Regions from separate parts of the Mus musculus genome. Here regions 2, 3, 4, 5, 6 and 7 are each reported to be linked to region 1. The links are microRNA targets in miRTarBase. Many come from high-throughput screens and were not tested one by one. Region 1 holds a microRNA gene; each other region holds the end of a gene's coding sequence.
What was found. The annotated mature microRNA mmu-miR-466i-5p reads UGUGUGUGUGUGUGUGUGUG and lies in region 1 at 1,885-1,904, shown strand. An mRNA with a match to its seed (bases 2 to 7 or 8) in the 3' UTR can be bound and repressed. Matches are read on the target gene's strand: a 7mer-m8 pairs with bases 2 to 8, a 7mer-A1 pairs with bases 2 to 7 and ends in A, and an 8mer does both.

Region 2: miRTarBase lists Hpca as a target of mmu-miR-466i-5p. Seed matches in the 3' UTR shown: 7mer-A1 at 2,936-2,942, 8mer at 2,934-2,941, 8mer at 2,932-2,939, 8mer at 2,930-2,937, 8mer at 2,928-2,935, 8mer at 2,926-2,933 and 15 more.
Region 3: the mRNA of Zfp74 is a reported target of mmu-miR-466i-5p. Seed matches in the 3' UTR shown: 7mer-A1 at 2,371-2,377, 8mer at 2,369-2,376, 8mer at 2,367-2,374, 8mer at 2,365-2,372, 8mer at 2,363-2,370, 8mer at 2,361-2,368 and 11 more.
Region 4: miRTarBase lists Chrnb4 as a target of mmu-miR-466i-5p. Seed matches in the 3' UTR shown: 7mer-A1 at 2,812-2,818, 8mer at 2,810-2,817, 8mer at 2,808-2,815, 8mer at 2,806-2,813, 8mer at 2,804-2,811, 8mer at 2,802-2,809 and 14 more.
Region 5: miRTarBase lists Grk3 as a target of mmu-miR-466i-5p. Seed matches in the 3' UTR shown: 7mer-A1 at 2,057-2,063, 8mer at 2,055-2,062, 8mer at 2,053-2,060, 8mer at 2,051-2,058, 7mer-m8 at 2,050-2,056, 7mer-A1 at 1,230-1,236 and 2 more.
Region 6: miRTarBase lists Runx1t1 as a target of mmu-miR-466i-5p. Seed matches in the 3' UTR shown: 8mer at 2,680-2,687, 8mer at 2,678-2,685, 8mer at 2,676-2,683, 8mer at 2,674-2,681, 8mer at 2,672-2,679, 8mer at 2,670-2,677 and 13 more.
Region 7: miRTarBase lists Gm14137 as a target of mmu-miR-466i-5p. Seed matches in the 3' UTR shown: 8mer at 1,455-1,462, 8mer at 1,457-1,464, 7mer-A1 at 1,466-1,472, 8mer at 1,467-1,474, 8mer at 1,469-1,476, 8mer at 1,471-1,478 and 15 more.

Annotation. Positions count from the first base shown.
Region 1 is chr3:28,418,060-28,422,124 of GRCm38, forward strand. Mir466q (microRNA 466q) reads left to right here and starts at 1,884; the gene lies at 1,884-1,959. The region is part of intron 2 of Tnik (TRAF2 and NCK interacting kinase); the gene reads left to right.
Region 2 is chr4:129,108,835-129,112,899 of GRCm38, forward strand. Hpca (hippocalcin) reads right to left here. Exons shown (of 4, transcript NM_010471.4): 3 at 3,841-3,946; 4 at 2,736-3,691. The coding sequence ends at 3,594. Tmem54 (transmembrane protein 54) reads left to right here. Exons shown (of 6, transcript NM_025452.4): 3 at 1,541-1,600; 4 at 1,696-1,884; 5 at 1,979-2,113; 6 at 2,489-2,792. The coding sequence ends at 2,554. Among named protein-coding and RNA genes, the nearest start is that of Tmem54, 5.3 kb to the left of the region's middle.
Region 3 is chr7:29,930,853-29,934,917 of GRCm38, forward strand. It overlaps Zfp74 (zinc finger protein 74), which reads right to left. Exons shown (of 6, transcript NM_178384.4): 6 at 1,939-4,065. The coding sequence ends at 3,390. Among named protein-coding and RNA genes, the nearest start is that of C230062I16Rik, 19 kb to the right of the region's middle.
Region 4 is chr9:55,026,495-55,030,554 of GRCm38, forward strand. It overlaps Chrnb4 (cholinergic receptor, nicotinic, beta polypeptide 4), which reads right to left. Exons shown (of 6, transcript NM_148944.4): 6 at 1,662-3,751. The coding sequence ends at 3,611. It overlaps Chrna3 (cholinergic receptor, nicotinic, alpha polypeptide 3), which reads right to left and starts at 68. Exons shown (of 6, transcript NM_145129.3): 1 at 1-68.
Region 5 is chr5:112,911,396-112,915,460 of GRCm38, forward strand. Grk3 (G protein-coupled receptor kinase 3) reads right to left here. Exons shown (of 21, transcript NM_177078.4): 21 at 1-3,679. The coding sequence ends at 3,518. Among named protein-coding and RNA genes, the nearest start is that of Myo18b, 17 kb to the left of the region's middle.
Region 6 is chr4:13,889,259-13,893,316 of GRCm38, reverse strand. Runx1t1 (RUNX1 translocation partner 1) reads right to left here. Exons shown (of 11, transcript NM_009822.3): 11 at 1-3,705. The coding sequence ends at 3,430. Among named protein-coding and RNA genes, the nearest start is that of Gm11823, 100 kb to the left of the region's middle.
Region 7 is chr2:119,174,838-119,178,902 of GRCm38, forward strand. It overlaps Gm14137 (predicted gene 14137), which reads left to right. Exons shown (of 1, transcript NM_001039223.4): 1 at 1-2,731. The coding sequence starts at 143. The coding sequence ends at 670. All of the region lies in intron 10 of Dnajc17 (DnaJ heat shock protein family (Hsp40) member C17), which reads right to left. Among named protein-coding and RNA genes, the nearest start is that of Gm14137, 2.4 kb to the left of the region's middle.

The DNA of each region.
Region 1 (4,065 bases):
ATATATATAAGCATTTCAAAAAAATTACCCTCTTTTTGAGATTATAATATAATTACATCATTATCCCCTTCCTCCCTCCAAACCCTCCCACAATGCCTTGTGCTCTTTCAAACTCATCGCCTCTTTTATCATTATTTATTGTTACACACATACACACATATTAGGAATGTATGTATGTATGTAGGTAGGTAGGTATATCTCTAAAAACATAAATACAACCTATTCAGTTAGAAACTATATCCATAACATCTAAACATGAGCTGAACAAGGGCAACACTAGACATGCTGAAGTAGGCAGTGGAAAGCCCTCCATCCTACACAAAGACCTACAAAATGCGGAGAACAGGAGAAATTGCTTATCCAATACCAAATGGACAGCCCTGGAAATATACATACAAGGGACATTATACACAGCTTGGCTTTTGCATATCAGAATGGTGTACAGGGGAGCTGGTCTCGAGACAAAGCAATGTTAACTGTAGATTCTGCTCTCTAATTTCTTTTAAGAGTGTATCATTTGTCACAGTGCTCTGCCAACTGCTAACTGCAGTATCGTTTGTTCTGTTGGTCCACTAAGAATGCCTGTTGAAAACACACAAGTGCTGCAAAACAGCGCCAGAAGAAGCCTTCACAACTCTGATTTCTGGGTCAACTGGTATTGGAACATGCTTCCTCGGGTGAGGGTTCTTAAGAAAAAAGATTGCTGGAAAGCGGGCACCAGAGTAGACAGAGACAGGCATGGGATGGGCTCCAGCTTCAGTTTTCTCTTTCAGTCTTGAACAAAGTACCGACCTCTTCTGAGCATCAGTATCTTCATCGAGAAGCCATGGGCAGCATGCATGCTTCTCATCTGATTAGAGAGTTGAGATGGAGATACATAGGGTGCTCCTGTGTGCAGCAGGACTCACTCATGACCTCGTTTCCTCTTCCCTTGTTTTTTACGAAGTCTGCAGAGAAGTGCCAGTGCCCAGATTAGTCAGTGAACGATGATAATGGCATGCTAATATTTATCCAGTGAAGCACTTTGCACAGAACTATTTGTATCATGTTTGTATAATTAGAGGAAACGCTTCTCATCATACATTATGATGTGAACTTTCCTTCCTAGGCTCCCGGTAATTAGATTTGGGTGAGGAAAAATTCCCCGAGTTGTAAAAATATACAAAAACTTTTCTCGAGTTTGCTTTGTGTTTTATATTTGTGACTAGAGTTTGCCATTTCTCTTTTTATTAGGTGCTCACCACAAGTATGTTAATGAGTGGAAGTAGTGGGTGAAAACTGGCGTTTGAGAGCCATGTTAGGTTTAAGCTGACATGAAATTCATATTTGGAGAAACAGAGTAGGATCCGAAGTGACTAGGTAGTATAAATGCTTCAGAAAGCCTCGGTATATTCCTTGAAGAAAATAGACAATTGGATACTTTTTGCTCTGGGCTGTGAAAACCCTTCTGAAGAATGTGGCATCTGGATTCTACTCAGCTGAGTCCACATGGGTATACTACTAGTAGACTTTACTACTATCTGGGGGGTAAGGTGGGGTTTGCAATAGGTGCAAATAAAACTTTATTGAAGTATTAAATGTATATATCACAAGAGAGTGCTTAACAGTGGGGTGGAGCAAAAAAAAAAGAGCTGAGAAATTTTCATGCAGAAAACTGAAGGAATTTAGTGAAATTCTTTATTTTTAACTCCTTCCCATGCTTGAAACAGGGGTCTCTAGTCTAGCCTGGTCTTGAACTCAGTCCTCCTGTCTTAACATCCTGGGTGTTGAGATTACAGGCAGTCACTACCATATTTATCTAAAGTCTACCTTAGGAAGACCCCTCTACTCCTGAAACAGTTTTAAAAATCTCCTTTATATTCTTATTACCTTCTCTTTAGTGTGTGTGTGTGTGTGTGTGTGTGTGTGTGTATGTGTGTGTAGTATATGTGCACACACACACATACGTACCCATGCATGCCATATCTCATCTCTGGAGATAATAGGACAACTCGTAGGAGTCAATTTTCTCCTTTACCCAGTAGTGCCCAGAGACTGATCTCAGGTTGTCAGGCTTGGCAGCAAGCACCCTTACCCTCTGAGCTGCCTTATAGGTGTGCTTTATATTCTTAATACTACTGAAGAGTGCAAGAACCGTATGTTTGGATGGATTGTCTACCAGCATTTATTATAGTGCCAATAAATGTGATTTCATTAAATACAATAAGGACTTTTTAAAGCACAATATTACTAATGCATAACACAATGTCCATTAGCCGCAGTGATGACATCATCTTGTGGCATGCAGCCTCTGGGAAACTCCACTGTACAACTGTGGGGCAAGAGCGAAAATAGCATTTGATGTCATTGTATTAATATATAAAAAGGGCTCCAGAGACTCAGAGGACCTCGGGCATCTCTGAGGACAATTGTAGTGGCTTGTAGTCACTAGAGAGGTCACGCTGATCTGTCCTTCCGTAACCCATCACTCCATTCCAGGATGAATGACATTATTCACAGGGTTAGAAATGAAGAAGGCAGAATTTCACAAGTGGCTCGTGGCCGAGATTTGGTACTGCAGGAGCACAAGAAGAACTACAACAACAGAAGCATTTCATTTGCCATCACTGTGTATCTTTGCATAAGTATTTTTTGCACAAGTTAGGTTAGATCTACATCAAATGAAAAGAGTGGATGTATTTTAGTCAAACTGTGTTAGGAACTTCTGGCCTATAATAGCAGCCAAACATGGGATGTGTGTGCAACCTCCAAACTGGGAAACACTTAAGAGGTGTTTCCTTGAGCTCCTGGCTTGCTTGGCTAGGGCAAATATGACGAGGAGCCTACCAGGTGCTCTGCTCAGAGCTGCAATGGGGAAAACCCCATCCAAACGACAGCAGAGCACACTCAGCTAGTAACAGCTAGCTCTCATTAGCCCCTCACCCGATACAATTAACAGAAAAGAATGAAAGACAGAATAAGCTTAGGAAACAGGTAAAGGGTGGTTTAAGTATGGTCTTAATTCTTTTGAGACAACCATCCCTCCTCTCTCTCTCTCTCTCTCCTCTCCCTTTTTTCCCTTTAATGTGATGTATTTATTTTTATTTCATGTGTATGGCTGTTTTACCTGCATACATGTCTGTGCATCATTTGTGTGCTAGGTGACTGTGGGTGGGAGTCAGTCTCAGTCTATCTAGATTTACAGATGGGCTGAGCTATCATACTGGTGCTAGGAACCAGATTAGTGTCTTCTGTAGGAACAGTGTGTGCTTTTAATTCTGAGCCATCCTGCTAGCCCCACAAGTGCCCCCTTTAAAGCAAACATCTGAGAGTGGCCACAGATCCTTTGAATATTTTCCCTAAATTCACACTGGAGGAGCCACCTTAAAACACAAAGTCTCCTGCCAAGTCTCTCCTCTGGATTGGCCCTGCTGGATTGGTCTAGTCAGTTCCCATCACCATTGGCTAAGACATCTGGCCACTAGGACGCAGAGCACACAAACATTGTCTTTGCAAAAGCTCAGTCAGCGTTGCTGGGACGCACCTTCACCCTGACCACCAGGAGCTTATTTCCCCCATTGATTTGTCTTTCCAGTTTCCTGTGGCTTTAGATCTTTTCTTTTACTCTTTAATGAAAATCCACACGAATGAGACCTTTTGCTTCTAAAATGCTAAGTTGTTGTTATTGTTTTTTGGGGGGTTGCGTGGGGGGATTTTCATTGTTTAGAATTTGTCCTGATGCTCAAGAGATTCACTGTTGGTCACCCAAATGAAAGGCTGTCGCTTCGGTGGTCTAGAACTCGTTTTTTTGTTTTACTTGCCTCTCACACTTGCAGATCTGTGATCTTGAAGCCAGAGAAAGAATTCCACACAGATTCCCAAACATAACATTCTTTCTGACAGGCAAATAATTCCTCAGGTTTTCAGCTGTTGCTGTCTGCCTTGTGTGGCTTTTGCTTTCTGATGTGGTCGAGCTATGCCTTTATGGTATGGAGAAAGGATGGCAGCTGAATAGTGTGTGCTATGTAGCCAGTCATTATGTTAACGATGCGTGCTTTAGCTAACTGTGCTCCCTCTGCTGGGAAT
Region 2 (4,065 bases), not on the chromosome of region 1:
TGTACAGGCTGTGTGGCAGGTGCAGATGTGTGGAGCTGGGAACGGCTGAGATCTGTGCTGAAGACACTGACTCAAACAGTCAGACAGGAGTTTAGCACTAGGGCAGACTACATGAGCCACTTGATATAAGCCGTAGTCATTGTGATACTGGGACATCTTTGTTTGATGAATGAATAAATGAAAGAGTCTGGTGTACTTAGGTGTACAAAAGCTCTTCTCTGCCGGTCAGCTAAGGTGGTTGTAGACTTGTTCATCTCTGGGAGACCTGCTGACTCCTGACAGAGGGACTTTTCTCTCTCTGAGCTGGTCTCTGCCTCTGACAGCCTGGTGGCCTCCAGGCCTGGTGAACCAGGCTCTGATCTGTGGAAGTTCCAACGGCAGGAAGAATGCAGGGCTATGTGCCAATCAGTATCTGTTTTGCTCAACAGCCATTTGAGGAGGGCATGGAAGGTGGCCAGCCCAGGGTCAGAGGGCTCTGGGGCTGGAACACTTCACCTTTCCCCAGTAAAACACTCCCAGCTGCCCATGACTGGGGGAATCACTCCACTCCCTTGGATGTGGTTATCTTCCTGTGAGCGCATCCTACAGAGAGGGGCTCAGCCCTGAGAAGTTGAGGTAATTTCTTGTGGCTGCAGAGTAAATTAACACTACCACTATACCCCCAGTGGTACTGTGTCCACTACAGAGATCGACACTAGGAAGGCGGATAGGCTAAATGGAGCCCTAGGGATCTAGAGGTCAGCCACTGAGCTGAATAGTGTGCAGGAAATCCTGTCTCTGGGGATGTAGGGGCATTAGGACTGAGGAGCAGGGCGCCTTGGAAAGGATAATCTGCGAGTGTGCATGAGGTCCAGTGAAATGAGGGAAGACAGTGGTCCAGGACAGACCAGAGAAGGCCAGGATTAGGTCGTTAAGAGCCTGGGATAATTTGATGCTCTTAGAGGTCTCTTTGTTTTTTGTGGTACTTAGGATTGAACCCCGGCTTCACACATGCCAGGCAACTATTCTACTCCCAAGCCCCATCCTTGGCCACCTCTTAAAGATTCTGAATTCTGCTTATGATGTGTCCTGTCTGTCTAAGATGGGGCCTCACTACATAGTCCTGGCTGGAAAAGAACCTTTTATGTAAACCAGGCTGGCTTTAAACTTGCAGCAATCCACCTGCCTCAGTGCTGGGAGTGTAGGCATTTGCCACCATGCCTGGTTTCTGATTTATATCATTTTGGTTTTAGTACCTTGTTAGTAGAATGCATTTCTTCCAGTCTTTTCCATCCTAAGGAGATATGCTGTGGGTCCTGGGGCCTAGCACACTCCCGGGCTTATGCCCGAAAACTTAGGACACACAGGACCCTGTCGGACTCAACAGCTTTAGGCAGTGCGGAGCCCTGGAAGGCCGTAGGGAGTGGGAGTTTATGAGGCCAAAGCCAGAGGCCAGGGTGGGAGTGGAGACTGCAGAACCGTGGAAGACGTTGGGGGGATGTGACCCCACGAGCTGCCCTCCAGCACCGGCTGATCCCAGCTGATTCCAGCCTCCCCACAGGTCATTGTTGCAGGAATTTCGACCATCGTCTTGTCACGCTACCTCCCCAGCACCCCCTTGGTATGTGGCATTTCCTCTGATGGGACTGTGGGCTGGGCCAGCAGCCCTCTTGGGGCCAAGAGTGATATCCACTGACCAGTGCTCTTTCTGCCTAGCGCTGGACCGTGTTTAGCTTGAGTGTGGCCTGTGCTCTTCTCTCTCTGACCTGTGCCCTTGGACTCCTGGCCTCCATTGCAGTGACCTTCGCCACCAAGGGTAGAGCACTATTGGCGGCCTGTACTTTTGAGAACCCTGAACTCCCAACACTGGCACCTGACTGTCCTTTTGACCCTACTCGAATTTATGTGAGTGCCTCGTCCTGGAAAGGGTTGGGAAGGACTCTTGGGTCTACCTGTACCCCTTTCCCTAATTAGATGCTTTTGCCCCTGGACCCCTCAGAGCTCTAGCCTGTGCCTCTGGGCCATCTCTCTCATATTCTGTCTGGCGGAGAGTATGTCTGCCGTGCGCTGCGCCCAGCTCATGCATGGACTACTGGAACTAAGGCCCTGGTGGGGGAAGAGCTGCCACCACACGGTAAGTCACCACCCCCACCCCCCATAGTCCTGGGAGGCCCCTGGATGGTCAGCCTCACCCCTTCTGAACAGGGCCTCACATAACTGGAGCAAAAGTTTTCTCAGCACTACCAAAGGGCTCCAAAGTCCAGAGAGGCCGGATGTGCCAGCTAAGTCACACAGCTGATGTCTGGCTCTCCTAATCTTGAGGAGAAGCACTGGTCTTTGGGGATTATACAGGAGACAGTTGGGGGAGGAGTGGGTTCTGGCCTGTCATGAATGACTGATAGTGCTGTCCTCCCCTGTGCCCCAGAAGCCCTTCCTTCTTCCAATTTGAGGGTGTCCTGAAGATAGAGACCCCAGGCAGAGGGAAACAACCAAGTTCCTGTGTCTGCAGATACAAGCAAGCCCAGAGCCCCTGGATGCTCATGACCTATTGAGCTGCGCCAGTTCTTGCAGCTGACCCTCTGACACTTCAGCAGCGCCATGGCTACTGAGGCACGTGACCACACCTGTATTGACCCGTGCCCAACCAGCCATGGAAGTTTAGTGGGATCCAGGATTCCTAGAGCACGCCCATGAAAAGTCAATGGACTACTGGGGACGTGGGAGAGGGCTTTGAGCGCCCTCCCCTGGCCACCGAGTACAATGCACTGAAACAAGACTTTATTTTGAAGTTATTAAAAAGAACCAAGATGCTCCGTGTGGCTGCATGCAGAGGGACATGGGGCTTGGCCGGGGGCCTGCGCTTCCTTCCCACACAGAATGCTGTGGAGGGGCTCTGCCCATCTGTCTGTGGGCCTCTGTGTGTGTGTGTGTGTGTGTGTGTGTGTGTGTGTGTGTGTGTGTGTTTGCGTGAGTGCACGAGAGAGAGAGGTGAAATACAGAGTACAGACGGGGTAAATCTGTGGTTATCTAAGTGCAAAGAGGCAGGTTGAGTTTGGGGACCCCCAGTTGGAATCCTGGGAGTTTTGTTTTGTTTTACCATGGCCTCCAGCCAGCAAGAGCTGGGACAAGAAGTGTTCTTCTGCAGGGAAGTAGATCAGGGAACTTCTTCAAAGCCCCACAGCCCAGAAATCATCCGTGGCTCCCCACCAAACAAAAAGACTCTTCACCTTGGCATGACTCCCCACCTCCCTCCAGGCTGAGGACCACCCAAAGGGGACCTACCCGCCCCCCTGCCCCCGTGTTGTGGAAGATCCTCCTGACTGTGGGTGGGTGTAAGATGATCCAGCTGTCTCACTAAAGAATACAGAACCTGACCGGAGGGCTATCTCGGTCCCACTAAGGGAGATTCTGCCTCTTGGGCCGTGGAGACTAACAGCTGTCTTGCTTAGCCCCTTCCTTGCAGGTTTCACTTCTCCAGAGGCCCACACACACACACAGTGCAGACCCCAGAAAGGGATCCCCAGTCTGGCCCCCAGCCTGGATAGACACGAGGGAGAGGAAGCTGAGAGCCGGAGGGCCGGTGAAGGCAGGGAGGCGAGCTGGCTCCTCTCAGCTCAGAACTGGGAGGCGCTGCTGGGATCACACTGCAGCAGGCGCACGATGGATGGGTCGCTTTTGGCTCCGCGGATGAACTCCTCCAGCGACAGCTTGCCTGCAGGGCAAAGGGAGGGCTGTAAATGAGGAGAAGGTGGCTGCGAAGCCAGGCAGGTGGCTCAGGAGAGGGAAGGAGGAAGGCTGCCCACCCTCCTCCACCCCTATCACTCCCCCCCAATCTCCCCCCCCCCCCCCCCCGCCACTCACCGTCATTGTTTGTGTCCATTTGGCGGAAGATTTTCTCAGTCCTCTTTTCCGGGGTCGACTCATCCTCGGGCATTTTCATCACGGACGAAACCATCTTGTAAATGGCCTGTGGGATGGAGGATCGGGAGGGGGAGAGGACATCAGGGAGTAAAGGAGGGCTGGGTTAAGCTCCCATCCTGCGCGCTGTCTCTTATAAACATCCCAGGGTCCTGCTCTGCTGGTCAT
Region 3 (4,065 bases), not on the chromosome of region 1:
TGTAACATGTAACATCTAAGTTACATGTAGCATACATATATGGATGAGTGTCCTATTGGAGAATCCTGACTGATACTCTGGGAACAAGAATGGCCTAGAGAGGGGCTAGAGAGATGACTCAGCGGGTAAGAGCACTGACTGCTCTTCCAAAGGTCATGAGTTCAAATCTCAGCAACCACATGGTGGCTCACAACCATCTTTAATAAGATCTGACGCCCTCTTCTGGTGTGTCTGAAGAGACAGCTATAGTGTATTTAGATATAATAATAAATAAATCTTTAAAAAAAAAAAAAAAAAGAATGGCCAGGAGAACAGCATTTGAAAGCTTTCTTAAGTCTCTGGTGTGGTGTACTTTAAAGGCACTATGACCATTTCCAGTGACACAGAGGACATGGGGAGCCCATGGAATGATGTGTCAGAGGACATGCAAGTAGCACCATTGGAATTCCTAATTAAGGCTGTTCTGACTTGTTCTAAGGCAAGATTCTGGGTAACCATGTATCTAACATCTTAGCCCGTTTTACTCAAGCCTGTGAGTAGAATATCGTGAGAAAGACTGATAAAGTGCTGGACAAAGCAGGGAAGAAAGCATGACCTCAGGGCTTCAGGTTGCTGGCTCAGCACAGTGCTGATGTCACGGGCATTTCTGTGTCTGCTTTGAAAAACGAATAGCTGCAGAGCTGAAGTATATGAAAACCGAAGCCAGAGTCTTAATCCTGCAGTGCCTGAATTACAGTGCAGGTTTGAATACCCAGCCTTCTTCCTATAGGACCCATGCAAAACTCATGCCAACAGCTAGAAGCGAGCTTTTTACCTGTACCTGGCCTTCACCTGGCACAGAAATCGCCAAGACACGCCTTTCTGTTTAAAAATCCAGAAACTGGTATTATGGCAGCACATGCCTGCAAACCCAGCACTCAGAAGGTTAGAGGCCATGAGTCTGAGCCCAGCCTGGTCTACAGAGGTGTTTCAACACAATCCACAAAACCATCACCACCCCCACCACCCCCACACACAATAATTTAAAAAGAAAACAAGGAATCGAGCTAGACACTCAAAAAGCTCTGCTGAGATCCACCAGCGCTCTGGTGCTCACGCTGGCCCCTGGCTTGAGAGACCGTGTGCACAGTTCCTTTTCTTCTTTCTCTTCGACTGCAGCCCAAACGCAACGGGACCTTACATTTTAAATTGAGAGTCAATTATTCCAACAAGTATTGCCTTTTGTTTTTCTACTACTTTCAACTGGGAAAGGAGCTATGTTGAAGATAAATGCTTCAATTTTTTTTTTTTGAACTAGCCTCAAATGGTTTATGCTGTTGGTTGGCATTATCCCGATAAAGGTTCTGACGAGTGAGACAGACAGCTTTCTGGTACTATGACAAGAATGTCTACAAAAAAAAAAAAAAAATCAACTGAAGTGAGGAAGAAACTTCTTACTTTGAAGGCACGCTCGGGTGGCCTGCGTGGGCATCCCCTCCCCCAGCTCCCACCTTTTGGTATCCGCTAGGAATCCGTAAGTAGATTCAGCTTTGACGAGGTCAGAACCCTCGTGACCAGATCAGTTCTGAACATTGTTGTTTTGGGGACCTTCTTTGGGGGAAACATCCCAGATCCAACCATAACTGAGTAAAAACAAAACATCTTAAAATCAGGCTTGTGTAAAGAGGATTAAATATAAAATAACACGTGCTAAAAATGGATTCTAATAGCCCATGATTTCGACACCCATATTTGACTTACTCTAGTAAAAACAGGCAACTAAATACAGGACCTTTAAAGCGTCAGATCTAATTTGATGAGCAGACTGGTTAGCACTGTAATATCTGCTTTTATTCTCTTACTGAAGTATTACAGGTCAATGTAACAACTTCTAGAAAAGCTTCCTAAAGCTTCAAAGGCGACTAATATCATAAATGGACCACGAGCAATATCCACTACTGTTCTTTGAACTGTTTTATTAACTTACAAATATTATACCATGGTTAATTGAATATTTTGGGGTTTCCTCTCAAAATATCATGATCCAGCCATGTAACTACATGTGAATTTTGTATCTTTTAAATAAAGAATAGTGTCCTATCATAGAAATAAACATATTGATCCACCTCTGCATTAATGATAATGTTACATATCACTTAGAGCAAACCAAGCCACAAATCTGGGAACATTTATAGATAGATCTTTGCAGACATACATGGATACTTCTGAGTCCAGTACACTAAAAGAAAATAGACTATTCCATGTTTGCAGGGTTTATTATTTTTTTTAATATTCTTACGCTAAAGCAACATGTTTCACTTTATTTCCAGCATTTTAGAATTTTACCTTTCCTATTTTGAGTGTGTGTGTGTGTGTGTGTGTGTGTGTGTGTGTGTGTACATGCATACCATGGCGTGCCATTGGAGGTCAGAGGACAAGTGTAGAAGTTGGTTCTTTCCACCCACCATGTGGATTCTGGGTATCGTAGTCAGCTGTGAAGCTTGGCAGCAAACCCCTATCAGTGGGGCCGTCTCACCAGCCTGAGGGAATCTGTATATCTTTGTTTAAGAAGTAACAAGTTTGGTCACATAACCTGTACACATATTGAACAGGCTAGACTTATTCCAATGATTTCAGTAGCACCAGGCAGATAGAAAATTGCCAAGTCTTGGGTTTCAATTTGTTTCCAAAAGTTTATTCACTCAAAAGAGTTTAAATAAGAAAAACTTTAAATAATTATAATCTAGTAGAGAGTGAACATCTTCCCTAGTTGTTTTGTTAAAAACTGTTTTTTGTTGTTGTTTTGTTTTTTGCTGTATTTTTTGTTTTTGCTATTTGTGGTCCTTTCCCTTGCCGTATTACTCTGAAATCAGTTCATGAAATCCTTTATAACTGATGTGTAAATTTTGAGTGGAAGTATGGACAAGGGAGAGACTGGGAAGGGTTCGTGAACTTTTATAACTTTCTAACTTGCTTTATCAAGTGGTCTTTTGCATTCGTCAGCACGTTTTGTAACTTCGTACGCATGTCACCTAATTACCTTAGACTTTCTTCCCGACACATACATTATCATTCAAAACCTACTTCCCCATAGTCTCATATTGCCTATAAAAGTTATTGTTTTTGGTTTTTCCAATCTCCTTCTCTTGCTTAATACATCAGCAAGGAGCTCGAGTTCGTTGATTGACAGTAGATATTTTCTTTCAGACTTGAAAGAGAATACTGATATCACTGGGTGTTTGGTGACAGTTTCTCATACAATTGGTCCCCGAAGTGGGAATTGTCTAACAGATGCATGGGACCTTCCCAAGGCTCTCCTACAGTCAGCGCCAGAACTGATTGTGTCGCGTGCTATGAGGTGTTCACTTCAATGGGAGGCAGTCCTCACATTCACCGTGGTCACGGCGTCTCTAGTGAGTGTGGATTCTCTGGTGTCTGACAAGGTGTGACTTTTGGCTGAAAGCTTTTCCACACTCAATACAGACATAGGGCTTCTCGCCTGTGTGTTTCCTCATGTGAAGCGTAAGAGAAGAGATCTGAGAGAAGGCTTTCCCACAGTTGCTGCAGTCGAAGGGCTTCTCGCCCGTGTGACCCCGGATGTGGATAGTGAGGGAGGAACTCTGGGAGAAAGCTTTCCCACACTTGTTACATTCATAGGGCTTCTCGCCGGTATGGCCTCTCATATGCACGATGAGGGACGTTCTTTGAGAGAAGGCTTTTCCGCACTCGTTACACACGTACGGCTTCTCCCCTGTGTGGCTTCTCATGTGTAAGTTGAGTAGTGAGCACTGGGAGAAGGCCTTCCCACACTTCTCACACTCGTAAGGCTTTTCTCCCGTGTGACTTCGCAGATGAAGCGTGAGGGAAGCGATCTGGGAAAAGGCTTTCCCACATTTATTACAATCGTAAGGTTTCTCTCCCGTATGAACTTTCTGATGGGTGATGAAGTTTTGCTTCTGGCTGAAGGCTTTCCCACACTCATTACACTCGTAGGGTTTCTCTCCAGAGTGAATTTTTTCATGAGCAATGAGATTTGACTTCTGGCTGAAGGCTTTGCCACACTCCTTACATAGATAAGGTTTTTCT
Region 4 (4,060 bases), not on the chromosome of region 1:
GCGCCGCCGAGCTCCCGCGCACTTGCGCGCCCGAGTGCACGAACCCCAGGCAGGCAAGCGCTGCTAGCAGCCGCAGGGCGGGGAGGCTGGGAGGCCAAGGCAGGAGCTGCGTCCGTCGTGGGAGGGGCGTCGGGCCACGGTCTTCTGCGTCGATGCCTCGATGCCTCGCCCAGAGCCTCCCTGGACTCTTGAAACCTCTAGGCTACAGACCAGTCGGGATCAGGCATTGTCACCATGGCAGGAAGAAAGGGTCAAATTTCTGGCCCTGGCTTTCTGGCAGGTACAGCTCTGAGGAGGGCTGGGGGCCTATCACATGTGCCAGCTCTAGTGTAACTCAAAAGTGGACCGTGGAAGTTTATGCTCTTAAAGTAACTATTTTCAGCACGATGCTGTGTGTGTGTGTGTGTGTGTGTGTGTGTGTGTGTACACAGCATACAGTTAAGAGGGACTCGATGGCTTGGGATGGAAACAATATTGGCAAGGAGTTCCCCATGGTGGACGCAAGGGTGATGATATCTGGGAGGTTTTATATTATTTTCGCTACTTTCTTTAGACTATGCTAGAGATGCTCCTTGAGAAAACAGACAAATGCTGATGGTTATAGCTCAGCAGTAGAGTGCTTGTCTAGCACACCTAAGGTCCAGGCTGCGATTCCCAGCAGAGTAAATAAATACTTTTATAAGTAAAGTTGGAATAACTAGAGGATCTGGCTTCCCATAGTGACCGTCATAGATTTCCTTTTGTGGCGGTTATAGATTTCCCTTGGTCTCACTGCCAGCTGCAAACCCATGTGTCCCAGGAATCGACGGTGACAAGGTAGGTGTTCTGGGGTCTCTTGACCTCTCTGGCCATCCACCAGGGATGGCTTAGCCCATGAAGGCTTCCTTGATGGTTCTTGGGGACCTTGTAAGGGTGATGGAGCAGTACTAAGCTGGATCATGGTGATGAACATACTAAAATTCATGGTATTGTCCAGTGCACAATGAGTGAATTTATACTTCAATAAAAGTGATCATTTTAAAAAGAGTTTTGTTTATTGTGTGTGGGGGGGGGCGTGCACACACATGGAAGCCTGAGAGGAAGTATGTGTACATGCACACACATAGAAGCCCTAGGACAGCTTTGTGAAGTTGATTCTCTCTTAGAGTCTTTATAAGGATTCTAGGGATGAGATTCGGGCCTCCAGGCTTGAGAGGCAAGTGCCTTCGCTCACTGAGTCATCTTGCTGACCCAATGAAGTTGTTTTTAAAGACCCAGCATATGGGCTGGTGAGATGGCTCAGTGGGTAAGAGCACCCGACTGCTCTTCCAAAGGTCCGGAGTTCAAATCCCAGCAACCACACAGTGGCTCACAACCATCTGTAACGAGATCTGACTCCATCTTCTGGAGTGTCTGAAGACAGCTACAATGTACTTACATATAATAAATAAATCTTTAAAAAAAAAAGACCCAGCATAAAGAAGCCAGTATCTACAGTATCTAATGGTTACACCCTGAAGGATTCCGTTTAAGCAGCAGGCTTGAAGATACTGAGCTACAGCAGTGAAGAAAAGGTAAGGGTGGCCAGGGCTAAGTGTGCAGGGGTTGGGTCTATGCAGAGTAGCCAAGTTTGAGTGACATCTTTCTTTTGTCCTAGTGTCAATGATGGTTATACAAATGTTAAACTTTAAAGAAGTCAACTTTATTGTAGGTTAATTCTAAAAACAAAACACTTTAAAATATTCTCCCTCAGGGGCTGGAGACTCAGCAGTCAAGAAGAGCATTGGCTGTTCTTCCAGAAGACTCAGGTTTGATTCCCACCACATACGTGGTGGCTCAAGTCTGTAACTCCAGTTCCAGGGGATCTAGTGCCCTTTCCTGGCCTCTGGGGGGGGGGGTACTAGCATGTACGTGGTACACACACATACATGAAGGCAAAACATCCATACACATAAAATAATAAATTTTTAAAATCTTCCCCTTGTAGGCATGAAATAATACCCTGTGTAAAGATTACCTTTATATTATTCAAACGCTGATTTCTGTGCCCCCACATTTGATTGTAATTCTTATTCTGAGAATTTCCAGTCTCAATGTTATGTAAACATTGCTCCCCAATTATTCCCTGATTGGTCAATGGCTAAGCAGGGGAGAGACTAGGTCTGGACTTCCTCCCATCCAGGGAAGGGGGCAGGAGGAGAGTGGGGATTCTCTTTGGGTAGAGAGTCCAGGAGATGCCATAAGAAAACACCTGGAGCCCAGAGAGCCAGATCAGTACTAAAATGCAAGTATCACTGGGGTTTTGACTGGGAGGTAGCCAGATCAGTTTAGAGGATTAAAATAGATAATGCTGCTCGTTGTTGTGCCTTTAAAGCTTCTTAAATAAATACAATAGTCCAGTCAAAATTATTTGGGAGCTAGCTGGGTAAAAGGAAAACAGCAACATTTTTTTTGTATTGTTTTGTTTGTTTGTTTGTTTTTATGAGACAGGGTTTCTCTGTGTAGCCCTGGCTGTCCTGGAACTCACTCTGTAGACCAGGCTGGCCTCGAACTCAGAGATCCGCCTACCTCTGCCTCCCAAGTGCTGGGACTAAAGGCGTGAACCACCACACCTGGCTCAACATTTATTTTTTTAAAAAAGCCACTAACACTCCTTAATTCCAGAAGTATCTTGAGTGCCAACAGTGGGGCAGGCACCGTGAGAGAAACAGATCAGTGTGAGAAAGAGACAGGCCTGAACCAACCATGGTGTAAAGGCAGAAAGCAGGAAGGGAGCAAGGACAGCTACTCAGAGGGTGTGTGTGTGTGTGTGTGTGTGTGTGTGTGTGTGTGTGTGTGTTTGAAGGAGAGCAGGAGCCATTCATTCAACAAACATTTATTTTGCACCTTCTGTGTGCAGAGCTCTGTCCCAGGCTCTGGAGTGTGAATGTGAATTCACACACTCCGACCCTTGTTGAGCATAGACTTTAATGGGCAAGGTGCTGGTGACTAGTGTGCCACCAACTAAGGACTGCAGCTGCCAATGGAGGACACTCAAGAAAGCTGGAGGTTTAATGTGGTTATGGGAGACGCTGCTTTGGAATGCATGGCTAGGGAAGGCTTGTACAGGAAGTGACATATTGGAACAGAGGATCATGGGAGTAGATCTCTGCCTAGTGCAGACATGTAAAAAGCTTGGGAATTGAGAGTCTGAGGTTTGGGCGGTAGCTACAGCAGATTTGAAGGTTCTAACCTGGAAGAATCTGGAAGTGTGAGAGGAAATGAAAGACGGCCAGGGAATCTAGTGGGTAGCCTGGATTGGAGGGAGATGGATGGGAAGGTGGGCTGGGGTGTGATGGGATGATACACAGCTGTCTGACTCCAGTGCCTGGCACATGGAAGGAAGGAGGCCAGAATGGACTTCAGCCACCTAATCCCCCTCCTTCAAGGGACTTACTCGAAGATATTCAGAGCGATCAGTGCAAGCCACCTATCTCTGTCCTTCTCGTGGCTAGATTGATAGGCTGACTGCCAATAGTCTTAGCTTTACTTAGGGTCTCATTAGCTACAACCCAGATGAAGCAGTAAACTGCCCACTAGGCTGCTCATATCATCCCACTACAACCCAGGGCCCCATAACACGCTGGGTAGCCTAGAGGCCCTTGGAGGGTGCGTGGATCTGGAAGAGGGGTGGCAGGAAGAGCCCCATGGTGCCCAGAATACACACAATCACGAACACCCACAGGAACAGGCGGTCGACGACCATTGCGACGAATTTCCAGTCCTCGATGACCTGCAGACAAACAGAGGCTGGTTACAGGTGCCAAGCACAGGGTAGCTCCTCCCTCTGAGTCACAGCCTCACAGCTGAGCACCATCACACAGGCAGCACGGGGCAGAACTAGGCATTGCTGTGGCAGGTTCTGAATCCCAGGCTGACCTCTGCCGGGCTCCTCATGATGTTCTCCAACCTCACCGGACCTGACTGGGCTTGGGGGAGGGAGTAGCAAAGCCATGGGGACTTGGGCTATACAGACGTCCCTCAGTCTCCTCTGGATCCCCTAGGACCTCTCAACCCTGATGCTGCTCAAAAGCCCACAGAA
Region 5 (4,065 bases), not on the chromosome of region 1:
ATAGCAACAAATAAAGGAAAAGAGGCCTTGAACCAACCAATGAAGTTAAAGCAAGAGGTCCTATTAACATGAATGTGAGCAATTGAGACTTTCGAGTAAACCTCACTTAGGAAGAGAAACGATTTTTTTTTTTAAATTTAAATTATGGAAGTTCCAAGTAGAAGTGGAATCAAACATGTAGGAAGGCGGTGATGCCATTCTGAGGTTCACCACATCTAAGTTGGACACGCACCCCTCCACAGCCCATTCATGGACAGTGACTAGGTCACAGCCTCACACTGCCTGGGCGACACAGCCACAGTCTCAGGTGACAGACTCAGTGTCCGGGGATGTACCACTGATGAGGGACCTTCCTGGGAATGTCCATAGAAGAACACGTGGCGGCACCTTCATGACGGGGCAACTCGGCCTCAGGAACGAAGCAAGTCTTGCAAAAATCCTTGGGGGATTCTGAGGGCGTGTCCCTTGAGCTCCCCTCATTCCCTCCTTGGTGGGTCATCATGCCAAGTGTGTGGCTTCCATCAGCCAACCAAGCCTTCTCCCTCTGTCCTTACCCTACCACTGAAACGGTGAGTTCCTGTACCGAGTTGCTCTGCCTCTCTGTCACACTGACCACTGGTGAACAATCCTGGCTAGTGGGGCCTCAGAACAGCTGCTTCTCACAGACACATAGCCAAGGTCAAGGCGGCCACTAGAGATAAATCTTATTAGTTGGCTAACAGTCTGCTGCCCGCTGTCCACACCCTCTGGGAATTAAACCCAGAATCTTGGAGATGTAAGGCAAGACCTTGGCCCAGAGCTACTGCCATAGCCCTTGGTGTTCTGGAGGCAGAGACTTGCCATGTAGGCCAGGCTAGCCTCAAACTCATAAGCCTCCTGCCTCTGCCAATCAAGGCTGGGCTTGTGAACCTGCAGTGTCTTTCCCCTGTAGGTCACCATCCATCCTTCATTGCTGGTTTTACATGGACAGTTTGTAATGTCAGCCAATGGGCCTTTCAATGTGCACACTTGAGTATCAGTAGCAAGACAGGTTCCTCTGTCAACCACTACAGTGTGACAATTTCCACAGGCTTTGTTTAAAAACAAAAACAAAAAACAAAAACAAAAACAAAAAACCCACACATTTAATTATGACCCAGAGGAAAAGCAGGGAGCCCTAAGGACAAGAGGGTAGTTTAGATTAAAATAAATAATAAACAAACTGGGGCTTGCCAAAGGTTTTAATTTGGTGTGTGTCACATAGTGGCTCTAAAATTATCTGATATTCTTGGACTTTGTGCATTGATTCTTGCCTTATGAAACCACGCCTATGTAGAGTATAGCTGTGTAAAAACAGCAATAAGTGGAACATCCTCCATCATGATAAGTGATCCAGGCCAGAAACCCAGGTCACTAGTACTCATGACTCGCCCTGTTAACAGTCTGAGTACAAGAGGCATCTAGGGACTTGCCTGCATGATGGGAACTCTCAAACAGCCATGTATCATAAACCCATCTGGCTCCTCCTCCCACCCTATGGATCCAGGACACACCCTAGCCACATGCCAGGGTGGAAAGATGGCCTTTGAGATGGCGCTAGCAGATCCACCACCAGCCCATATATGAATCTTTAGGACTATGCCAGAGGCCATCTGCACTCTCTCTCATTCCTGTCCCCGAGGGAAATGGGGTTGAGGGCAGGAGACCCCACCATACACACACCCACACACACTTCTTTTTCTAAAAGGAAAGGGGCCTTAAAATTAACTTGGCCAATAATAACACATGATATTTGTGCCAGTCTGGCGTGATTTAGTGCAGGTGCAGGATCCCATGATCCTGTGCCATCTTGAAAGACTTTGGTATAGCTATAACCCCGATAAGAGACTGTTACAGCTAGCCCAGCACCTGCTGGGGTCAAGTTCCCTCCCAATGTGGAAGGGGTGGGGGGAGGTCTCTATATGTGCTAAAGAGACCAGAGATACAGCTCCTACCCCTCCCTGCAGGTCTGACTGAGCATGTGTGAGCTGTCCATACTAACCATGCCTACACAGTAACCACAACGCTTAAGTGTGTGTGTGTGTAGTAGTAGTAGTAGTAGTAGTAGTAGTAGTAGTAGTAGTAGTAGTAGTAGAAGTAGAAGAATCTGAATATTAGTCTTTTAAGCAAGCAGGGTGTCCCTGCCAGGTGACGCCACATTCCCACCCTGGAGGCAGTGAACAGCGGCCCTGTGCGTGATCATGAACCCAGAATTCATGTGCGGTGAGACAGGCCCTGAGTCTCACAGGTCCCTCATGCACCTGCCGAGTAATGGACCCTCTCAGTAAATTATCTTCCAAATTCTCAAAAGGTAGTTGCAATTAAAAAAAAAACCCCATAGATATCAATAAATAAACACCTCATTTTCCCCAGCACAAGAACATAATACACACTGGGGACTGTCAGGAAGATCCAGGACAGAACACAAAGAATTCTGCTGTCAGGTTATGTGCTCGGGACTTCATCTAGAGACCCAGTAACACTACCATACTGCCCCCGCCCCCAAGGCCTCAGGAATTGGACAAGTCCACCGAGACCTTGCAGGACTTCTCATTGTGTGACATGGGGCCAGGCAGCAGCAGAGAAACCCACTTTTAAGGGGAAGGGGGCTGGGCAAACTGCTGCCCCCATCAGAATAACTCAGCGCACAGTGCATTAGTGACAGAGGGTATGGGGCATGCCAGGGCGCATAGGGGACCGACCGCTGGACACTGTCACCCACCAGTGTGAGATCATTATAAGCTATACTGAAAGACAAGGCAGCAACTCTTGTCTATCTTGGGCACATCCTCAGATGCTCCCCAGGTCAAACTGGGGGATCAGGAGGACTCTGTCATACCTAACCATTGATGGTGACTCCAAGTTTATGCACGCCATGCATTGGGGGCACTGTCTGGTGGGTTACCTAGGTCCTGCTTGAAGTCTGTGCCCACCAGAAATGGCTGTGATGGATGCCGCGAAGTTTCCTCGAGGGGCATCCCTGGAAAGAAGTCATCAGAGGAAGGAAGTGCACACGATACTCAGGGTTACCTCATCGCCTCAGGGACAGCAAGGAGTCAGCCCTGACCTACAGAGACCCTCCTCCAGTGTCTGGAGCCTCAACCCCTACACCTCAGGCAGGCACTCGGACACAGCAATGCCTAGAACAGGCCACCATAGTCCCAGAGACCGTGCTTCCACCCCAGATATGCTCCCTGCCAGACATAAAAGCTTGAGAAGTAAGGACCATTTTACGTTCTGGGTCCCTGGATACCAAAGTGAGAGAGTTGCACAGCAGAATGCCTCTGCTTCTTCAGTAATTTCGAGTGTGGATAGGACAGCCCCGAGGATGTCCCAGCTCCCAGAAGGCCGCCCTGGTGTCCTGAGCCTCCTCGGCTTGGAGCAGCCCCGTCAGTGCTCAGAAACACTGTGTCTTAGCCCCACACGGTTCCCCGTGGCTTCGTTCCACTCCTGGGCTGAAGAGCTGGGGCCCCTCCTTCAGGCCCCGCTGCTCTGTGGTTCAGAGGCCGCTGCTATTTCTGTGACACAGTGGTGGCTTGGAGAACTCCAGGATGGCGGCCCGTGGTTTGTTGAGGAATTTGGGGGCACGGCGCAGCAGTCTCTGGGCCTCATTGAAGGTGCAGGTCAGCTCCTTCAGCCACTGTGCAAACTCGGGGTCACTCTGCATGGAGATGTAGGAGAGAATTGGAGTGTGTCTACTCACCTGCCAACAGTATCTACAAATGGAGCCTGACACTGGACACATGCTACCTGCACTGAATGAAGCCTGACCCCTACCTTCGAGTCCCTGGGAACCTGGTGAGACAAGGAAAGCCAGCTGTGGGCTCTTCCTGTGAGCTTCCTGCACACAGTATCTACTGCCTTAATCTAGTTGGGGATTTTTCTCTGGGTCCTAAAACCACAGCCTATAGAATAAAAGTTGGGGGAGGGGATCTGATACTTTAAAATGACTGATCACAAGTCTAAGATAGTTTACAGTTACTTAAGGAGGGTCTAAGGGAGTTTACAGTTACTTAAGGAGGGTGTCAGCCCAGGGGAAGCTGAGCC
Region 6 (4,058 bases), not on the chromosome of region 1:
AACAGTCTCCAATTTTTTTTTTTCTGTCCCTTGAGGAATTCGGACAACATGGAGTCGCTTTCTTTCCCTAAGTATTCCAGACATAGGCATGCTTTGCATAAGTAAACCAGCCTTGAAATTTTTAAATCCCCAAGACATGCACCTACACATTAAAAAAAAAAAAGTTCAGAAAAATAAAAATAAAAAAGACAGGTGGCCCTGTCACACACAGTCTCATGACAGAGAAAGAGAAAGAGAAAAGAGACAGAGATAAGAGATAGAGGACGCCCTATTCCTATCAGCGACCACCATTCAATTCTATCCAATGAAGATAACTTTTTTTTTAATGTGTAATACCTACAAATCAATACTCTCACATAGCCTGTATATAAGTGACAAGCAAAAAAGGAAAGTAACAAAAGTTTTCTTTTCTTTCTCTTTTTTAGGTTTATGAGGTCTGCATTGTTACCAAGAAGTGATATGGTTTGCAGCTGTATGACTTTTGGTATCCTGGTTCTTTTGTGCCCATTTGGTTTGACTAGACCAGTTTTTGTTAGCTACTGGTGCAATATACATGCTGTCAGAGGTAGAGTGAAACTTTTTGCCACTGAGGAGAATGTAGCAAAACAGGAGGAGAGGAAGAGGAGGAGGAAGAGGGGAAGGAGGAAGAGGAATTAGAGATAGAGCTCAGAGTTAGGGATTTTTTTTTTTTTTGTATTGGTTTTCACTCAGGGTGCCCTGAATTAAAAAGTAATGAGACGGACTGTACTAATCCTTACTTTACACACTAGTGTTCAGAATAACAGTGCTGTTCCACGTACATCACAGCTTCTTGAGATCGAGACGTGAGGGTATGACATACCTCATTTTTGGGATTATTTAACCCTTCGTAGCCTAGAACATAGAATAGCTCTAAGAAAGGACTGTCCAGTGTCACAAGCAGACTAGAAAGCAGAATGAGGTCAAAGGATTCTGGGAGCACCATGGTAAGATAGAACCCATTCAGAGCCTGCTTATGTGCTTCTCGTTGCCTTTAGCAGGTGTGCTGGCAGATGGACTTCCAACATGCAGATAGATATAGATGCATTTATTTGCTCATCAGAACTTCCTAAATTAAAAGGCCATTGAAAAGAAAAAAGAAAAAAAAAAAAAAAAAAAAAAGAAAGAAAGAACACAACACCACCGGAACAAAATCAAAACCGACTGGTATATGAAAATATGGGGGAAATGGTTTAAGAAAAATCTTAGATTTTCGAGACATAAAGCAAACCCAGGAGGATTGCCTCTATGCAGATAACTTAAATACAACCACTTAAAACTGTATCCAAGGGCTACATTACCCGCTCCCCTCCCCCTCCCGCAAGCTAATGGATTGTACTCAATTTGTAAAGAAATGCCTGGTGTATGGGTATGTGGAGAAGTGTCTTCCCAGCCTTGTCAACTTTGGTTGTCTACACAGCCTGCAGCACTGCCGACTCTTAAAGCACACAACCACATCCTGGGCTAATGTGTTTCAAAACTAACCAGTAGTTCTGGTCTGGACCCTGGACAACGAAGGGTTAATGGATTCACACTGAACATGTTCAACCTGCTGATCATTTGGAAAGTACCACTGGTGCTTTTCAAAGTTCCGATTTTGGTCCCTCAGATCAGTCTTTGGCTGATTTCCCTTTTGTAAGAACACTGTATTACCTGGCACTCAGCAGGGTTAAAGCTGTTCGTCTACACCTCAGCATTTGGAGCTCTAATGATTTTTTTCATTTTTTTTTTGTAAAATTAGAAATACTTAAACAACCTTACAGCAATATGCATGCACTGTCCTTTTTTTTTTTAAAGTAGGATATCTTATTTTATTTTTTTTAAAAAAGTCCCTAATAATTTCTTTTCATAAAAAAAGGATAAAAGAAAGAAAAATTCCACTACTACTCTATGCTACAGCTAAAATTGGTGAAATGGCTCTAGCATATTTAAAAAGTTGGTTTGAAAAAAAGAAAGCATGCCTAGGGAGTCATTGTGACAGTGCAAAATACATTTATGTACATCCCTCTTAAAACATCCATGTGCTAGCATTCCATGAAGCATGCTGGTTTCCAGGAAAAAAAATCCTATAAGAGAGTGAGTTAGCAGCTCCAAAAGATAGCTTTTTCTTTTCTTTTCTTTTCTTCTTTTCTTTTCTTGAGGACAACCAAAAAAGTTTTTTTTTTCTTTTTTTTTTTTTTTAACTACTAGAGAAATATCACTAATACATACAGATATAAAAGCAGCATAGAAAGATACAGGTTTCTCACCAACTAGGAATAAAGAGACTAAATGTGGGCATATGGGTAAACTACAACGCATCTTCACATTTGTCCAACACATTTACAAGAAAAACACCATTGGGAAAACCTCACAGGACAGAAGTGTTTTAATACCAAGAGAACTACTAGATTTTAATTAAAAATCCAAACAGGGTGGGGTTGAAAAATTTTGGAAAGGGGCTGGAGCTGAAGCCACCATTTTTTTTTAAATTAGTTTTCAATATAAAATGAATGAGCTGGAATAGACCCAATGTCTTAGTCTGTGGAACCTTGCAAAAGTGAAGAAATGTTGAAGGGTTATTTAGGGCAGCTGGCTGACTTGGAAGCTGCCAGAATGCTAATTAACTGCAGGCTGAGTCTCTTAAGTGTGTGTGTGTGTGTGTGTGTGTGTGTGTGTGTGTGTGTGTGACTATATATATAAAAAGGAGCCTTTGTATTATGGCATTTTTTTTTCTTGCTGCTGTAGTCATACACCGCACTGGAAATCATCTTTCATTTTTCATTCTGTTGACCTGGATATTATTATTTCTTTTTCAGAAACAGGAAAAAAAGGACCATCTGTGTCTCCTTCCAATCTGCTGCACATCTGCGCGTTTTGCAGCGGGTCTTCAAAGTTCAGTTAGCAACCCACAGACGCCATTCATCTTCTTGTTAAAATGTCTACTTCTGTATCCACCGCTCATGCCCTTGAGGAATTGCCTCTTTTTTTTTTTTCCATTATTGTATATAAAGAACACTGTGACTTTTAATATTAGCATTTTTGCTTTCAACAGCAATTAGCAATCTCTTGGTTTGCTGTTTGGTAAAGCACTGGTTAATGAGGTCATCTAGTTTAAAATCCCAGCTACTTGGAAATAACAGGGAGGAGGTCAAATCTAGCATTTCACGTTATATTCTTTCCTCTCTTTTCAGTTCTCTAAAGAAAAGATATCTTTGTTATCCACAGTAAGTCATTACGACCCGTTACTGGCCTCTGTGTTCTACTATCGCCTCAAAGATACAGTTAGGTTCTCTCTTGCCGAAGTACTGAAATAAGATAGATAGTTCATCTATAAACAAACAAACAGAAAAGGGACTTTGAGCATCTGAGGATGAGGAATTGCTTTCGTGTTGGTTGTGGTGTCTTTCCTCTGACAGTCTGAGTTTAGGTCTAGCGAGGCGTCGTCTCTATGGTAGAGGGGGTTCCCGGGGTGGTAGACCTCGGAGTGGCTGCTGGTGGTGTGTCCATTGGGCTCCCAGCCCCACTGCTGGGTGTGACTGAGGAGCTGACAGCGGGCGTGTCTCCCTGCTGTGGGGCCTGCAGGGTCTGTCCACAGATGTGGTGATGCTTCTCCCAGTCTTTATGCTGGCAAAAAGAGCCACAGTATCGGGCCGTGTTACAGCCGCTGCACGTCTCACTTGCTTTCCGGCCACAGTTCCAGCAACTCTGAAGGAGAAGGAGAGATCCCAGGTGAATATTCATGAAGGTAAACATCTAGTAAACAGGGAAGGCATCACTGCTCCCACATCTCCAAGAGCTACAGAGACAAAATGGACGATTCAGAAGACCCTGGCTGAACTTCCAGTCGCACCACAGCCCCACCCTCTCCCTACCTCTCCAACCTGCTGCCCTTCTCCCTGTCAACGCCCCCATCCCGCAATACAGGAGTGTGAGACGTTGCTGTGTTCCTCTCCAAAGGGTCATAGCTCAGGCAAGCCACCCTGATGAGACGATGCTGGGACATAAAGCGCTGCCCTGCCCTGGGTGGGCTACCTGGTTCCTACCAAGGTCTTTGGCTG
Region 7 (4,065 bases), not on the chromosome of region 1:
ACAACCTCTGCTGTTGGCCCTTGAAGGGTGTCCCTCTGGTGTCTGGCATTCAGCACCCTAGCAAAAAGGTCACCTGCTGCTGCTGAGCCCCTTTGTGGGGCTTCTCAGATGCCAGACCCACTAGATGACTCTCAGGAGCTCCATGGAGACCTGGCGGAAAGGCTCCTTCCGCAATGCCTCCTTTTTCAAGCGAATCACCCTGGGGCGGCCACGGAGACTGCATCGACAGGGCAGCATACTTAGCCAGGCCAGCACTGCTGGTGGTGACCATGAGGAGTACAGCAACCGGGAAGTCATCCGAGAACTGCAAGGGAGGCCAGACGGCCGGCGTCTGCCCTTGTGGGGGGATGAGCATCCCCGAGCCACCCTACTGGCCCCACCCAAGCCCCCACGCCTCTACCGAGAGAGCTCCAGCTGCCCCAACATTCTGGAGCCCCCAGCAAGCTACACAGCTGGCTACTCGGCCACCCTGCCTTCAGCAATCTCCCTGACAGGGCCGCTTCACCAGTGCTCAGAGGAGGCCCTTTCGGACACTCCCCACTTCCCGAGGACACCTACTCCGGACCTCAGTGACCCTTTCCTCTCCTTCAAAGTGGACCTGGGGCTTTCACTTCTGGAAGAAGTTCTGCAGATTCTAAAGGAGCAATTCCCAAGCGAGCCCCACTTCTGACCTGGTGAGAGTAGCGAGAACTGGGGTGACTGGAGGAATGGCGCCTGTGGACCCAGGCGAGGAAGGTACAATGTGGACTAAAGAACAGGTGGGGACCAGAAGCCACAGTTCTCCCTGCCCTCTGGCTGCTGACCAATCCTTCAAGTCGCCCAAAGTGAAGGGGCAAAAGCCAGCTGGGAATGTATGGGAGTCACTTTCTGGCAGGAGTCCTGAAGGAAGCTGGAGAGACCAGGAAAAGGAAACTCCAACCTGCAACCACGGAACCAGTCAGAGGTCAGTGGAGAGACAGGCAGGCACAGGGGCGAGCCAGGAAATAGGACTCAGCCTGGGCAGAGCAGCCTCTAAAGACCACGTCACAGAAACAGAAAGTCACAGGCCAGTCTAGGAAGACATAGTCTAACTGAGATGAAAGGGAAGTGGGGAGGTCAGAGAGGCAGGACTAGACAAGTCACCACTTACGGCGCAGGACTGTTTAATGAAGGAAAAGCAAACTGAGAAGTCAGCTCCAGAGGCTGAGGAATGGCTCAGTGGATACAGTGCTTGCTATGCAAGCAGGAGGGCCTGAGATTAGACCTCCAGTACCCGAGTATAAAAGGCAGGCAGGGATGCTAGCCCATCTGGAATGCTGGTGCTCAGGTTGGAGAAGCTAGGGATCCCAGGGGCAGCTGCCTGGTTAGGTTGCCAAATCGGCACAGTCCAGGCCCAGCAAGAGAGCCTGCCTCAGAAAATAAAACACCGAGAACAATTGAGAAAGACATCTGAAATCAACCTGTGACCTCCACTTCACACACACAGACACACACACACACACACACACACACACACACACACAGACTCACAGACACACAGACACACCATCCAGACACAAACACAAAGAAAATTTCAGTTATTTTTCATCCTAGCAAATTTTTATTTGTTTGTTTTTGAGATGAGGTCTCATATGTAGTGAGGGTGGCCTTGAACTTCTTATCCTCCCACCTCCACCTCCGGAGCCTGGGATTACTCATGTGTGTGTGTGATCAAACCCAGGTTTTTTTTTATGAGACACTGGGGATCAAATCCAGGGTTTCATGTATGCTAAGCAAGTACTCTACCTAAATGAGCCACATGCCAGCCCTCTAGCCACATTTTAAAGATGTTTTCAAAAATTATTCTTAATTGTGTGTGTGTGTGCACACAAACAAGTATATACAGGTACATGCAGAGGGCAAAGGTGTTGGATGCCCCTGGAGCTAGAGTTACAGGCAGTTGTGAGCCACCTGATGTGGGTGCTAGGAATTGAACTCAGGGCCTCTAGAAGAGCAGTATGTGTTCTTAATTGCTGAGCCATCTCCCCAGCCCACTTAGGCACATTTTAAATCAACAGCCACATCTGACTGACGGCTACTGTACTGGATGACAGAGCATAAACACCGACACTGTTAGACCAAAGTCCACTGGATGGCGCTGGCCAGACACAGTATGTAACCATCAGAAGCTTGGGCAAGGAAGGAAAGTTGCCAGCTCTGGGCTGCAGGTGCAGGAGGGGCTGACAGCAGGAGAGGTAGACAGAGGAAAATGCAGGGGAAAGGCCTAACATCATTAGCAAACACAGCATGAGACTCAAGCTTCCCACAGATCTGTAAGCAAGTACTCTAGGAAGAAGCTCCTGGAACCAGCAGCTGCAAAGGAGTGCTCTGGGAACTTCCACAGGCATTGTATGTGGAACCTCTGGGAAAGGCTGCAGGAACAGTACAGGGATAACCAGATCAGAAAGGACAATGCACCACCAAGAGGCTCCAGGATCCTCCACCAGGCCCAAGACAGGGCAAGGCTACAAACTGTGCTACTCCCTGCCCTGTGGCTGGGTCAGATCTGAATCCAGAGCCCAGAAGCACTGGACCATGTGGGTCTGGCCTCCAGGTCACTCAAGTGTGAAAGAAGGGTAAAGGAAGCTGTGACACACACTGCCTGATAAATCCACATCTGTGACATCTCTCTTTCCTGTTCCTGTGCAGAGGTACTCAGCTTCAAGCCTCCTCTGGAAACAGGAGGCAACCAATAAAGGTTTTTCTAATATGACCTACAGAGTATGGTCTTGGATGTGAAATGCTGAAACTTTCTAGTGGGGAATGAGGCTTCTTTTAAGCTAGGATCTTGTAGTGAGAACCTTGGTTTCTTTTTAAAAAGCACAGAAATCTGACTATGCTTTCACTTTAACCCCCGTGTGGCATGGGGCTGTCCACAGCTGACTATGCAGCTTGTCTCTAGCAGGGGCGTGGTTGTGCCAGCTGCAGATGGTTTCTGCAACTGTGTCACACTTGGAATTCTGGGGCCTTTTTAGAGAATATATAGTATATATTCTGGGCCCCGAGAGGCACGGTGGTTAAGTAGTCTTGCGCAAAGAACAAACATTAAGGAAAAGAAATGTGCTATCCTGACTGATGAAGTCTCTTGGGGCCCCTAGTCAGGGATCTCTTTCCTTTCCTCTCTTCCCTCTTTTTCTCCATCTACTGTTAGAGGGTTGAAAGGGTGGGAGAAAAGGCTGGGGAAGGATGGAAGAAAGAACCCACAGAGTAGCAAAGGCAGCTACAGGATCCTGGGCTGACCTCTACATCATTCATGTTCCTCCTCCATCAGGACCTGGGACACTGAATGACAATGGCCACCATAGACTCAGATGTTTGAATGCCTGGTCCCCAGTTGGTGGAACTGTTTGGGAAGAATTAGCAGGTGGAGCCTTGTGAGAGGAGGCATGTCACTGAGGTCAGGCTCTGAAGTTTCAGTTAGCTCTCTCCTTGCCCTGTGGTTATTTCAGCATGTAAGCTCTCAGCCACTATTCTAGTGTCCTGCCTACCTGCCTGCTGCCATGCTCCCTACAGTAATGGTCATGGACTCTACAACCTCTTGGAACCATAACCCCCCTAATTAAAGGCTTTCTAAGTTGCCTTGGTCCTGGTGACCAAACTGTCACAGCAATAGAAAAGTAGCCAAGACTGACACACTCCCCCAAAGGCTCCAATCTCTCAGGCAGGCATCCTGATAACTCTCTGAGAAGCTGTGGACACGTGGACAGGTACGCAGGCGGTTTCAGAGAAGGGGAAAGCTCCTGCCCCCAAAGCAACCGTCCCTCCAACAGGAGCGAAAGGCATCCATGCTCTAACCTCTGCAGTCAGGCTAAAAAACTGGACCAAGGAGGGCGGAATGAACAAGTCATGGTGTTCTAGGGACTGCGAGGCTGCCCCAGGCCCACTGTCGCTAGAAAGCTAGCACTTCACAAGTGGGGTTCCAGATACAGCACCCCAGGTTCAACATGGGACTTGATGTTATTTCCTAGAGTCAGTTTGTGAGTGGGAAGTTGGAGACAAAGCTGGAAAACAGTTCTGGGAAAACCATTGCTCCAGCTGCTTGCCTTC